Caenorhabditis elegans: one gene and its partner. The protein of the gene in region 1 interacts with the protein of each later gene in a pairwise test. Each region holds a gene or a part of one and is shown in the gene's direction. Other genes may lie near its edges.

The links.
Region 2: the proteins of let-805 (region 1) and spc-1 interact in a two-hybrid assay, tested with the Caenorhabditis elegans proteins (one large-scale study listed by BioGRID).

Annotation. Positions count from the first base shown.
Region 1 is NC_003281.10:2,655,822-2,662,604, forward strand, and holds the start of let-805 (Fibronectin type-III domain-containing protein), read left to right. Parts: upstream 1-2,261; 5' UTR 2,262-2,274; coding exon 2,275-2,365; intron 2,366-2,997; coding exon 2,998-3,066; intron 3,067-3,208; coding exon 3,209-3,463; intron 3,464-3,513; coding exon 3,514-3,902; intron 3,903-4,582; coding exon 4,583-5,393; intron 5,394-6,783.
Region 2 is NC_003284.9:3,123,415-3,130,379, reverse strand, and holds the start of spc-1 (Spectrin alpha chain), read left to right. Parts: upstream 1-3,318; coding exon 3,319-3,521; intron 3,522-3,574; coding exon 3,575-3,659; intron 3,660-4,636; coding exon 4,637-4,762; intron 4,763-4,814; coding exon 4,815-6,395; intron 6,396-6,438; coding exon 6,439-6,965.

The DNA of each region.
Region 1 (6,783 bases):
GATTTTGTTTTGATGCACCATCTCGGAAACCTCTCTATTTATGATAGTTTAGGGCATTTTTCGTAGTGTTTACGAAATTATACATTTGAAATTTTTTTAAACTATATAACCTTCTTTTAATCGTTTTTTGAAGTTAAGAAAACGATTTTTTTTGAATTTCTAAACTGTCATACTCCAAAAACTTTAAGTCCAAATGTTCCCAATTTTTTTTGGGCAAATTCTAGAGCAAACCCTTTTTAATGTACCCCACCCCATCCTTTCCCAAACTGTGAATTTAAATGCATCTTCTCCCGTATCTCCAATTCCTATCAAAACCCATCTCTGTGATAATTAATCACCATATACCTAACTTATCTTCTCGCTCTTTGGTGTTTTATTCTCTCCATCCCCTCCTTCTAAAAAACACACCCTCTTGAGAAAGGGGAGTAACCTGGGGGCCAAGAAGGAAAGAAAAAAAAAATCATAACTGAAAACGGTTTCGTTATATTCCTCCTCTTTCTCTAAGAAAGCCACACCCTAAATTCTCTGTACGCTTTGTCTCTTCGTCTCCGTGTACTATTTCTCTTTCTCTCCGGGGTAAGGGTGGGGAAAGGGGCACCGAGAAGAAGATGTGTTGCCTCTTTTTTTTTGCATTGCTGACTGTGTGTGTGTGTTGTCTAAACGACCGTTTGTGATTGATTCTGTGTTATATATGGGGATGGGGAAGGGGAGAGAAGAATCGGATGAGAAAAGATGGAATGGGATTTCTGATACTACTTTGTTATTCTAGTACAGCCCCCTATAAAGTTTCTTATCACACTAGCGTTTCGCCTATAAACTGACTAGTTTTGGTAGTTTTAGGTTTGAGCTGGGTTTTTGGCCTGAATTTAGAAATTAGAAGCAAAACAAAATTTTGAATAAAAATTTTTTTTTCGAGGAAATTTTTTCTAAATTTTCCCAAAGTTTTAGTGCTAATTTTGTTTAGAAAGTAAGTAGTAAGGTATTTTAGGTTGCACTTGTAATTAAATACGTATATTATTCAACATTTCAATAAAAAGTGTTTTAATCGCCTAATTTGTTTTACCGATGCACCATGATTTGGGTTACCCTTACAGCTGCTAGATTTGAATAATTTTTTTGATACCCGTCACTTCCTAAACTATGAAAACCCTTTTCTAACTTAAAAAAACAAAAATTTCAGGAATTTCACAAAACATTTTGTCAAAATTGAGTTAAACCCGTGAGAAATCAATTTCGGTTTGCTTTTTGTCCGAGAGGAGTACACAAATCTAAATTCTCGTAAAATTTTTAATATTGTGGATTATGAACTTGTACGTTTAAGAAGTTTAAAAAACGTTAACAAAGCTGATTTTTACCTGAATTTCATCGTGTACTCCTCGTAGACAAGCGAATTTTCGAGCTATTTCATTAATTTTTTTCAGGCGGATTTTGGTGCTGTAAACATCCAAAAAAAATTTTAAAGTGAATTATTTTACTTCTGAAATTAAATTTTTCTAAAAAATCTCGAAGACACAAAAAATTACACAAGAAAAAATTTGTGTAGTCCTCTCGGACAACCGAACTTTCAATTTTTTGATTTACTTCAAAACAGGGCACACTTTTCGGCTATAAACTAAATTTTTTGTAGCTTCCCATTGTTTTTTTTATTGTACTTCTTAATAGTATTTTGGTATATTGAACATTATGTAGCTCACATTTCAATTGTCCGTCCACACTACCTCCTCCCATTCAATCTCCCGCTCTGTTTTTTACCTTTTTAATTTGATTGCTGATATCTCAGCGAGTTTTACAGATATCAAAAAATTACCAATTACCGTAATGTAGACCATAAAATTTTCTACATTTTTGTACTTTACAAAATTTTACCAGCTTGTAAACGAACAGAGATATTCACTGTCAAAGTGAGAAAGGGGTAATAACAAGCATGGCTGCATACACCTGTCATTTCGTGTCAGGAATGAATTTCAAACAACGGTTTTCGTTCAAATGAAAACTTTTTCACCTTTTTCTTTTTTCCTGTCACAATTACCCGGTTACAACAACAGCCGCCCCCCTCTCGATTACACAATAAACAATGCCGAAAAATTGGGAGGTAGAAAAAATGTAGACTAGCCCCCCCTCCCCGGCCTCTGCTGACTCAAACTAATCTACTACTGTTCGTTTCCCCCCTTTTTTAGCTATTACTATTACTTTTATGCTTTCCATTTTCATTTTCTTGTTTCTTCGTCTTCTTCTTATCAATCAATTCCTCCCAATTACAGGTCTTTCTCTAGGATGGGTCTCCGTTCGAGGGGTCTCCTTCTCCTCTCCCTCGGGATATGCTATCTTCAGTTATTTACCCTAGCAAATGTAGCATTAAACTCCAGTAAGTTTCAGTTTTAAGTGTATTTATAGAACGTTGAAGGAAAACAAAATTAAAAGTTTTAAGGCCAAAAAATTTTAGCAAAAAAAAAAAAATTTTAAGCCTAAAATGTCTATGCCAAAAATTTTTTAGCCTCAAATTTTTTGGAAATTTCATAAAACAGCTTTAACTTTGTTGAAATTTTGAAATTTTAGCTTAAAAAATATTTAGCATAGATTTTGTGGAAATTCCAAAAAATCTAATTTTTTTTTGAGATTTAAAGAAATTATGGAATTTGGCAAAATTCTTAAATATCCTGAAACATGTTTTTTTCAAAATTTTTGTCCCTAAATTTTTGTGATTTTTTACTGAAATTTATTGGCTAAATAAAAAAAATCTGATTTTAATCAAAAAACGCCAAAAAAAGTAGGAAAGTTGCTAATCAAAAAAAACATTTCCATTTCTGAAATTTGTCTTTATAAAGCTAAAGAGAATTGGAAAACAAATAAATATAAAAAAAATCTGCTAACTTCTTAAACACTTTTTTTTTCAAATTTTGAGCAAAAATTTGTTTTTTTAATTTTGGAAAAGCAACCTTTTTTTTTGTGGCTTAAAGCCTAAATCTAAAAAAACTCTAAAAAACCTATTTTTTTCAGACGTCAGAGTTAAACGCCAAAGTGGAACAGATAGTCTTCTCACAGTCGAATGGGAAGGAATTCAAACTGGTAAGTCTCACATTTTTACCTAAAAGCCCTGAGGCCCGAGCTTGAAGCCTAAAACGCAAATAGAGAATATTTAGATGCGAAGACTGAGTAAAAAAGCCTAGTTTTTCGTTGAAAACGCGCTCTATTGAATTCTTTTTTCCAGGAGATCACGCTGACTCAGAAGTAAAAGGATTCCTCGTTGAATACCGGCCCGAGCGAAGTGGAGAATGGCAGCTGCATCCGGGAATCATACCGTACAAGGGACCAAATCATCAGTACCGGGTACAGATTCCCAAGCTCCCCACCGGAATCTCCTATCTCGTACGGATCAAGGTTATCGGCGAGAATAACGAGGTTCTTGTGGAGACACCCGAGATTCGGGCTCACAATGAAATTGTCTCGATTAAATGTGAAAATGGTAAGATTTTTAGAAACAGCTTAAAAAAAAACAAAAAACCGTAATTTCAGATGACCTAACTGCACCTCGCTACCCACAAGTGACAGAAGTCGCCCAATACTCTCTTGCCATTAAGTGGGATGCTCCAGACTGTGGATCCGTCGGAGACTACCAGGTCGAGTTGACCGGTGTTTCTGCTCCATTTGACATCCACCGACAAACTGTCACTCAGCCACACGTCTCTGTCACAAATCTTCTGCCGGGCACCTTCTACAGTGTGAAGGTTCGTGCCGCCGATCGCAGCCGCAACGTTGGACCATGGAATTCGGAAGTTTTGGAGGCAAAGACCAAGGGAGACGCACTTCCGATCTCGAATAATATTCAACTTTTGTATCGTACCGACTCGGAACTCCGTGTCAGCTGGCAACCATTCACCGATCCTAGACTTCAGCATTACGAGGTAAGCAGTTCTTAAGAGTAGATCTAGACATTTTCAAAATCTGAGTGGGTACTCAGATGCCGGCTAATACGTTTTATGGCCTTGATCATTTTGTATCGATTAGGCTCCCGCCGCCGAAAATTTACCCGATTCGTCGGGTCTTGGTACTGAAGTCCCAGATCTGATACCGTCAAATTTTGCAAGCCACTGGCACGGTCCTTGGAAAATTTTCAGTGATTTTCGAAAATATGGCGCTATTTGTTCTACTGAACTTGAAAGTAGGGGCATTTTTGGCTAATTCGCTACGAAAATTAGACGGCAAAGTGTTAGAAGTATCATTCGTGGGCTACATGGCAAACGGGCCGCCTGACAATCTGCTGAGCCGAGGACATGACATGCATCTTCTCCGATGGCAATTTTTGAAAACCCCTAAACTAACTTAGATATATTCTAGCAATTCCGAGTGCACGTGGTGTCAGAGTGTCTCATTTCGGCTTGATCTGCGTAGATCTACAAAAAATGCGAGAGAAGAGAAGCAGAGTTCTCAACTGAATTTGCATGGTTAAGAACGTGCTGACGTCACATATTTTTGGCGAAAAATTCCCGCATTTTTTGTAGATAAAACCGTGACGGATCAGCCTGGCACCACGTGTGAGGCCCGTAAAATTTCTAGAAACGCCATCAAAACCTTCATTTTTCAGGTCACCGCGGTGGAAGTAGACGATGACTCCCGACGCGTCGAACGTCGTCGTGTCGATCCAGCCCTCAACTCGTTCGCCCTTACCGGTCTCCGCCCGAACACCAAGTACACGATTGGAGTCATCGCTTTCGTTGATCATGAACCAAAGCAGGTCTACCAGATCGAGGCTTACACCACATCCGGTGGAATCGAGAGTTGGGAGGAGAAGCCGCAAGTTGTCGATCAGGGAAAACAACAGTTCGCAGTTCACTGGAAGCTTCCGACCACCTCGATCACGGTGAGCAAGTTCATTTTGGAGTACAGACTTCCAAATGAGACGACATGGAGAACAAGTGAACAGAAGGGAGTTGCCGATGAGTCAGGAGACTATTCAGTTGCTCTTTCACAAATGAATGCACCATACTACACTGTCAGAATCGTTGCTATCGATGATCAGAACAAGGTTGTCGCTAGAACCGAGGAATTGACTGTCGGAGAAGCAGCCGAGACATCCTGCATCGGATCCGCCGGTGTTCCAACCAACATCCGATCCGCCGACGTTGATGGTCAATCCATCAAGTTGGAGTGGGATGTTCCAAGATGCGATGAGACTCACACACCAATCGATGGATATGAATACATTGTGTACGAGGCATCACAGAGTGCACCAGTCGATGGAGCATCTTATGTCGGGGCTCCACACGTCATCATCAAGGGGCTCAAGCAGAATGTTGATTACACATTCAAAGTAAGATCTCGAAGTGTTAATGGACATTCTCAATGGAGTAAAGACGTGATCATCGAGACAGCAGTCGCAGGAAGTGTCAGATCAGGTATTACTTTTTGAACATTTTTTTAAATGTATTAACAATTGAGTAAAGTAAACCCTAACCTTGTTCTTATATATGTCAGGGATGGGCGGCAAATTTTTTTGTCTACAAGTTCGGCAAATCGGCAAATTGCCGGTTTGCCAATTTGCCGGAAAATTTGATATCCGTCAATTTGCCGATCGGCCGATTTGCCGGAAATTCTCAATTCCGGCAATTTGTCGGCTTGCCGATTTGCCGGAAATTTTCAATGCCGGCAATTTGTCGGTTTTCCGATTTGCCGGAAATTTTCAATTCCGGCAATTTGCAGATTTGTCGAAAATTTCAATTACGGCAATTTGCCAATTTGCCGGAATATTTCAATTCCGGTAATATGCCGATTCACCGGAAATTTGATTTTCGGCGAATTGCCGGTTTGCCGGAAATTTCGATTCCGGCAATTTGTCGGTTTGCCGATTTGCCGGAAATTTTCAATTCCGGCAATTTGCAGATTTGTCGAAAATTTCAATTACGGCAATTTGCCAATTTGCCGGAATATTTCAATTCCGGTAATATGCCGATTCACCGGAAATTTGATTTTCGGCGAATTGCCGGTTTGCCGGAAATTTCAATTACGGCAATTTGCCAATTTGCCGGAATATTTCAATTCCGGTAATATGCCGATTCACCGGAAATTTGATTTTCGGCGAATTGCCGGTTTGCCGGAAATTTCGATTCCGGCAATTTGTCGGTTTGCCGATTTGCCGGAAATTTTCAATTCCGGCAATTTGCAGATTTGTCGAAAATTTCAATTACGGCAATTTGCCAATTTGCCGGAATATTTCAATTCCGGTAATATGCCGATTCACCGGAAATTTGATTTTCGGCGAATTGCCGGTTTGCCGGAAATTTCGATTCCGGCAATTTGTCGGTTTGCCGATTTGCCGGAAATTTTCAATTCCGGCAATTTGCAGATTTGTCGAAAATTTCAATTACGGCAATTTGCCAATTTGCCGGAATATTTCAATTCCGGTAATATGCCGATTCACCGGAAATTTGATTTTCGGCGAATTGCCGGTTTGCCGGAAATTTCGATTCCGGCAATTTGTCGGTTTGCCGATTGGCCTGAAATTTCAATTCCGGCAATTTGCCGATTTGCCCGAAATTTTCAATTCCGGCACTTTGTCGGTTTGCCAATTTGCCGGAAATTTTAAATTCCGGCAATTTGCTTTTTCTTGCCGATTTGACGAAAATTTTAATTGCCGCCCACCTTTTTGGTATATGTCAACTAATTGAATTGCTTCAACAAATATTCAAAAAATTAATACTTACTGTGAGAAAGCTAAACTGAAAGAGTTTAATCATTTGTAATTAATAAATAAATGTATACTATTTCTTAACAGGGGTAATCTAAAAC
Region 2 (6,965 bases), on another chromosome or scaffold:
CCAGTGTGAAACTTCTATAGGACCCCCCCCCCCCCCCCCCGTTTTTTTTCACGATTTTTACTAAAATCAACAGATTTTGGAATTTTTGACAAAGCTCAAATCAAGTTTGAGTTAGAAATGAGTTCAGATAAGCAGTTTTGACTTTAAAAAATTAATACGAAATGTTCTCGTGGGATCTCCAGACTGGTTCTGATTCTTCCGATCTTTGATGTTCAAGTCTGTTTCAAGCTTCCTGGTGCTCTCGGTAATGCCAAAACTTGATAAACTCTCTTTAACAAGTTCCTACTAAAATTCCTAGCACACACACCATAAACATTTTTACGCCATCCCCAAGAAACCAGTCAGAAACAGCGTATTAACAAGTTGCAGTTATTTTTGATCAACAACAGAACATTCATATACTAAAATCAAGAAAGGATCAATAGTTAATCGGGTTTCCTTGTGTGCGGATGATCTCAAACAGTCTGTCCTCCATTGATCTGACCAAACTTTTCAGCTGGTTGTCCGGAATAGACTTCCAAGCGTCGAGAATTCCTTGCTTCAACGATGCAACTGTTGGGTAAGTCTTGTTCTGAGCATACACGATACGGACAAGAATCCCCCACAAATTTTCGATTGGATTGAGATCAGGACTTCGAGCTGGCCAATCAAGAAGGTTGATCTTCTTGAGCTTGAAATAGTCGCGGGTTGAGTTGCTCACATGGATTGTCGCATTATCCTGCTGAAATCTAAAGTCTTTTCTGGAGTAGTGACGAAGATATTTGGATACAGTGTCGAGAACGGGAAATTTTCCTACTCATTTCATGCAGGGACACATTGAGCAATTTCATAACATCCAGCTGAGCGCGTTCAGTGTCCGAAAGGGCAGATCCTCGAGGCATTGCAAGTTAGACTGCTTTCGAAGTAAGCTTTCCAGCCTCTATATGTGTGCCACAACACATGCCACAATTCCACATTTAATAATTCACGCAAAAAATAGTAAATAACATCTGTGAGGGACAATTTAACTTGAAATATTGGTCCCATGGAACCTTGTAATCAAAGAAAAACGATTTGATTCCTGATAAGCCTTCCATTGTTTCCTGCTGCATATTTTGCCAAATCAGCTTGACTACACAGTCGAAACATCTAAAGTGCGTGCTAGGAATTTTAGTAGGAACTTGTTAAAGAGAGTTTATCAAGTTTTGGCATTACCGAGAGCACCAGGAAGCTTGAAACAGACTTGAACATCAAAGATCGGAAGAATCAGAACCAGTCTGGAGATCCCACGAGAACATTTCGTATTAATTTTTAAAGTCAAAACTGCTTATATGAACTCATTTCTAACTCAAACTTGATTTGAGCTTTGTCAAAAATTCCAAAATCTGTTGATTTTAGTAAAAATCGTGAAAAAAAACGGGGGGTCCTATAGAAGTTTCACACTGGATTTTGACGTTTTTTCCAGCGCGACCTCAGTTTTTGAGATAAACTTCTGGAAAAAAATGTATATAGGTTTTTTTCAATTTAAAAACGAATGGCATTAGCAGTTTTTCAAAAAAATTTTCGGAAGTTCCTCAAACCTTCAAATTAGGGGGGGTCCTATAGAACTTTCCCACACTGTATTTTCTATAATGTTTTATTCTTCATTTCAAACAAAACTTCCGTTGGCATCAATGCCAAATTCTGACGTAAAATAAGAATTTGAAAGATGCTCTGCCCTCCGTCTTCAACGAAACGTCGCCCCGAGCTGTATCGAATTTCTTTGCCTCTTCTCAGAGTGTGACGAACTCGAAAACGAGAGAGAACTAATAGTTTTCATTTGTGTTTCCTTCTCCTTCATTGCCGTCCTTCACTCATGTGTCCGCAGGAAGTTTTCGAACGCAGGTGGCCTCCATCCGGCACTTGACAGATTTGGCGCGGCTCCCCGTTTCCGGTGTTTGCTCACTTTTGTTATGAACCAAAGCTTGACCATGTCACTTAAGAAAAAAGCCCTTGAAGAATCCCTTTTTCGGCTTTTTGTGTGGATGCTTTTAGATTTGATAGAATGGGGTCCCCTATTGTTTTAAATCATTCAGTTGTTTAGCGTAAGTGGATGTAGTTATTTGAGTTTGGAGGTTTTGTATCGTGGTTTTTAAACTAAAACGAATATTCTTTTGTGCAAAGAAATTTCTAATTTGCTCATTTACTCACTTTTACTTCCAAATTTTGAAGTTATGTTTTTTCGGTTATCCTTCCCGCTTTCCCGCTTCCCGTTTTAATAATTTCTGTCACTTTCTCTTTCATCATCACTTCTTCCGTTCCAAATCGATTACCCAATTTTATTGACAACACATCAGTGAAACTTGCAAATATTTGGAGGACATACTTTATACTCCATCTCCGAATATATACATAAATGTGTGGTCGGTGGTGTGTGTGTTGGCGGAGACCCCGGAGAGAGAGAGAGAGTCAAACTGCGAGTAACTGGAGAGATGGAGGATGATGCATTCGGTGAGGGACTGTGTGCTGTTGAGAGGAAATCGCTGGCATTTAATAGAAGAGTGCGTTTTTGTGAGTGTGTGTGTGTGTGAGTGTGTGTGAGGGCAGTCAGAGCGCGGCTGTGTGCGAGGCTGAGCGGGACGAGCGCGTCCAGGCCTGCAGTCGTCTCCCCTCTTGTTGTCTCTGCTTCTCTAGCCACACTCTCTCGTTCTCTGCATTCGGTTTTGTGTTGGTGTTGTGGACGCGGGGGTCGTTTTGGGCGATCGATAGCTGCCAGCTCTTCTTGTACTTGAACCAGTTGAAGTCATCTCCTTTTTTCACTTTGAGAGCATATTCTTTCTTGTTTCATCATTTTCAAAATTTGCTGCATTGTGCAAAACCCCTTTTTTGTAATGTCTCTTCTGTTTCTGACAGCTGTGTGTTCAATTTCAACACAGCTTGTAAACGGCGGAGTCGGAGTTAGTCTGACTCATCGAAATATTGTTATCAGTTCAAAAATGTTGACAGTTGTGTGGGCTGGAAATGGAACCACCTTTTAAAATTACTTTTGACATGATATACTTTTTGAGTAACACTTTCTTGGTAAATTTTCATTCGTAGAATTTATAAGCTTATTAAATTAAAGCCACAAGCTTTCCCATTTTCTATTATTTTTTGTCTCCCAGGTGATTCTTTTCCGCACTTCGTCATTATTTGTTCCCACGTTGTATTTATCCTCTAAAGCTCTCTCTGATTTTTTTTGTTACATTCTTCTCATTTATTTGCTCATTTGTTTCTGTTACGGTCTCTTCATAATCAACTTTCTTTCATTTTCATTTCTATGGAGGTTTTAAAACAATTGTTTTTCAGCGAAATAAGATTATGGCTGATTCGAATGACACTCATGCTCCACCAGAGCCGGTGCTAGAAGTACCGCCACCACAGGAGATTCGTATTCTGGAGACTGCTGATGACATTCACCAACGTCGTCAGGAAGTATTAGGTCACTATTCAATTTTCAAGGATCACTCGCAGACAAAACGAGATCGTCTCGAGGAAGCTCGTCAGTTTCAATATTTCAAACGGTTAGTTCTAAAATTTTGTTGGGTTGTCTAGAATTCTAATTTTTCTGTTAAAGAGATGCTGATGAGTTGAACGTTTGGATTCTTGAAAAGCTCCAGACAGCTCAGGAAGAAAACTTCAGAGATCCGAGCAATCTCCAGGTTGGTACCATCTTCTCATTATTTCTCAGTCGTATTCATCATCTATTTCAAAGTTATCTAAAACATAAATTTTCTGTGGTTGGTCCCCAGCTTTCCATTCTCAATCCTTTTTGACGACAACTCGCACAATTCTTTTCTCTTGGTTCATTTTCCCTCGGGGGGACACTCGGACCCCTTTCTTCTGCTGCCTTGTTTGGGGGCACACAAATGTCTTTTGGGAGCAACGACAAAGGCGCAGCAGCAAAAATATATTGATTTGAGTGGTTCGCTTCAGCGCTTTTCTCTGTGCCTTCGTTTCGAGAAACGCATCTGCGACCCCCAACATGCATGCTCACTTGAAGATTAGGAACTGAAAGCAATGTAGTGCACAATTACATTTATAAACAATTGGCTCGAGTAGAGAGGAGTACATGTGAATTTTGCTAACTTAGTTATTTTCTGGGAAGCAGAAAAGATGAAAATGAAATCTTTTTACACAATATCGTCATTTTGGAAGATATGAGCGCTAGAAATTAGGAGTTAAAAAGTCTTTGAGGAAACAATTTTTTACTGCTCCTAATATCATTCACCTTTACTTATAATGAAACACACTGAAAACCCAATAAATTCCTGTGGGGGTTCCAATTAATCCTCGCCGCCGTTTTTTATCATGCGTTCCGATCGAAAGATGAGATGAATACATATAGTAATAGACGGGAATCTATAAAAAGTCGGGCGTTCGTACACGGCCTTGACACTGCGTAATCGCAACTGACGTGACCTGACTTGATCCGCCGGTTTCCTGTAATGCCTGGAATGATAAGTAATACTGACGAGTAAGAAGATAGATGAGGCGATTATGTTTCTGTTGCTAGGTTTAGCGGTTGAAAAAAAAATGAGAGTAAGAGTTGACTAGTTTTGAAGCATGAATTGAAAGAGAAAATTTTTTTACATCAAAATGAAAGTATGATCAAATGTAAATCATAAAACATTTTCAGGCCAAGATCCAGAAGCATGAAGCGTTCGAAGCTGAGGTTCAAGCTCACGCTAAGACCATCGCCAACCTCGACAAGACCGGAAACGCTATGATCCAACACAATCATTTCGCTAGCGAACACATCAAGGTACTTAAAATCACTAAAGACATTTGACAGTCTGATGATTAATTATTTTCAGAAACGCTTGGAAGAGTTGCACGCCCTCTGGGATAAGCTCTTCTTCAAACTGAAGGATAAGGGAATTAAGCTACAACAAGCACTTAAACTTTTGCATTTTATTCGTCAATGCGATGAAATTCTCTACTGGATTCGAGAGAAGGAAACCTATGTCACCGCAGAAGACATGGGAATGGATCTCGAACACGTTGAGATACTTCAGCGTAAATTTGACGACTTTTTGAAAGAACTCGGTAACCATCAGTACCGAATCAATGAGATCAATCAAGCTGCTGACAAACTTGTCGAGGAGGGACACTCTGAGCACGATCAGATCTACAAGAAGCGCGATGACGTTAATGATGCTTGGCATCGTTTGAACACTTTGGCGGCCACTCGTAAGGAAGGGCTCTTTGGAGCTCATCAAGTTCAACGCTTCAATCGCGATGCAGACGAGACCCTTGCATGGATTGGAGAGAAGGATCTTGCTTTGTCAAGCGATGATTACGGAAGAGACCTCAATAATGTTCAAGCTCTTCAACGCAAGCATGAAGGAACTGAACGTGATCTTGCTGCTCTTGAAGGAAAGATGCTCCAATTGGAGAAAGAAGCTCATAAGTTGGCAGAAACTCATCCAGATCGTGCTGAAGCGATTCATCAAAAGAACGATGACACCAAAGCCGCCTGGAATGCACTCAAGGAGAAGGCTCAACACCGCAAAGATGGACTTGAGAGAAGCTTCCAGCTTCATCGTTTCTTGGCCGACTACCGTGACTTGATTAGCTGGATTGGAGACATGAAAGCTGTCATCGGAGCTGATGAGCTTGCAAAAGACGTGGCTGGCGCTGAAGCTCTTCTTGAAAGTCATCAAGAACACAAGGGAGAAATTGATGCTCGTGCTGACTCGTTCAACCAAACTGCATCCGCTGGACAAAAGCTCGTTGAGATGGGAATTCCAGAGAGTCCAGAAGTTCAGGAGAAGCTCGAGAAACTTGACCACGAGAAGTCTTCTCTTCTTGGATTGTGGGAGGAACGTCGTATTCTCTACGAGCAATGTATGGATCTCCAACTCTTCTATCGTGACACTGAACAAGCCGAAACCTGGATGAACAAGCAGGAAGCGTTCCTTGCCAACACTGATTTGGGAGATTCACTAGATTCTGTCGAGCACCTCATCAAGAAACACGAGGACTTTGAGAAATCGCTTGCTGCTCAAGAGGAGAAGATCAATGCACTTGACGAGTTTGCTACCAAGCTCATTCAAGGACAGCATTACGCTGCTGATGATGTTGCCGAGAGACGCCAAGCTCTTCTTGACCGTCGTCGTCGTCTTCTAGACAGAGCTCGTCAACGTGGAAATGCTCTCAAGGAAAGCTACAAGCGCCAGACATTTGACCGTGACTGTGATGAGATGGTTAGCTGGATCACTGAAAAACTGTCCACCGCTCGTGACGATTCTTACTTGGATCCTACCAACATTCGTGGAAAACTCCAAAAGCACATCAACTTTGAGCAAGAGCTTAAGGCTAACGAGAACCGTTTGGACGATATTCGTTCTACCGGAGAGCAAATCATCGATAGTGGACACTTTGCTGCTGATCATGTAAGTTATCAACTTTTTATAACTATTAGTAACTTTTTTTCAGATCGGAGACCGCCTTCGTCAAGTCAACAACTTGTGGAACGAATTGGTCGATGCTACAAACAAGAAGGGAGCCAAACTTCGTGAAGCTGGAAACGAACAGCAATTCAATCGCAACATTGAAGATGTTGAAGCATGGTTGTCGGAGCTTGAAGGACAAGTTGCTTCCGAGGATTATGGAAAAGATCTTGTATCTGTTCAAAACCTTCAGAAGAAGATTGGACTTATTGAGTCTGATTTTAACGCTCACAACGATCGTGTTGATGGAATCAAGCAACTTGCTCAACAGTTCCAAGAGGAGGAGCATTTCAATGCTCCAGTCATTGTTCGCAAGCAAGAGAATCTTCAGCAGCGCTACAACGCTCTCCGTGATCCACTTGAGAAGAGAAAAAGAAAACTCGGAGAGTCCCACCAAGGAAATCAACTGTTCCGCGATATTGAAGATGAGCTGGCTTGGATCCGTGAGAAGGAACAAGTTGCTGGATCAACCAATCGAGGACGTGATTTGATTGGAGTTCAAAATCTCATCAA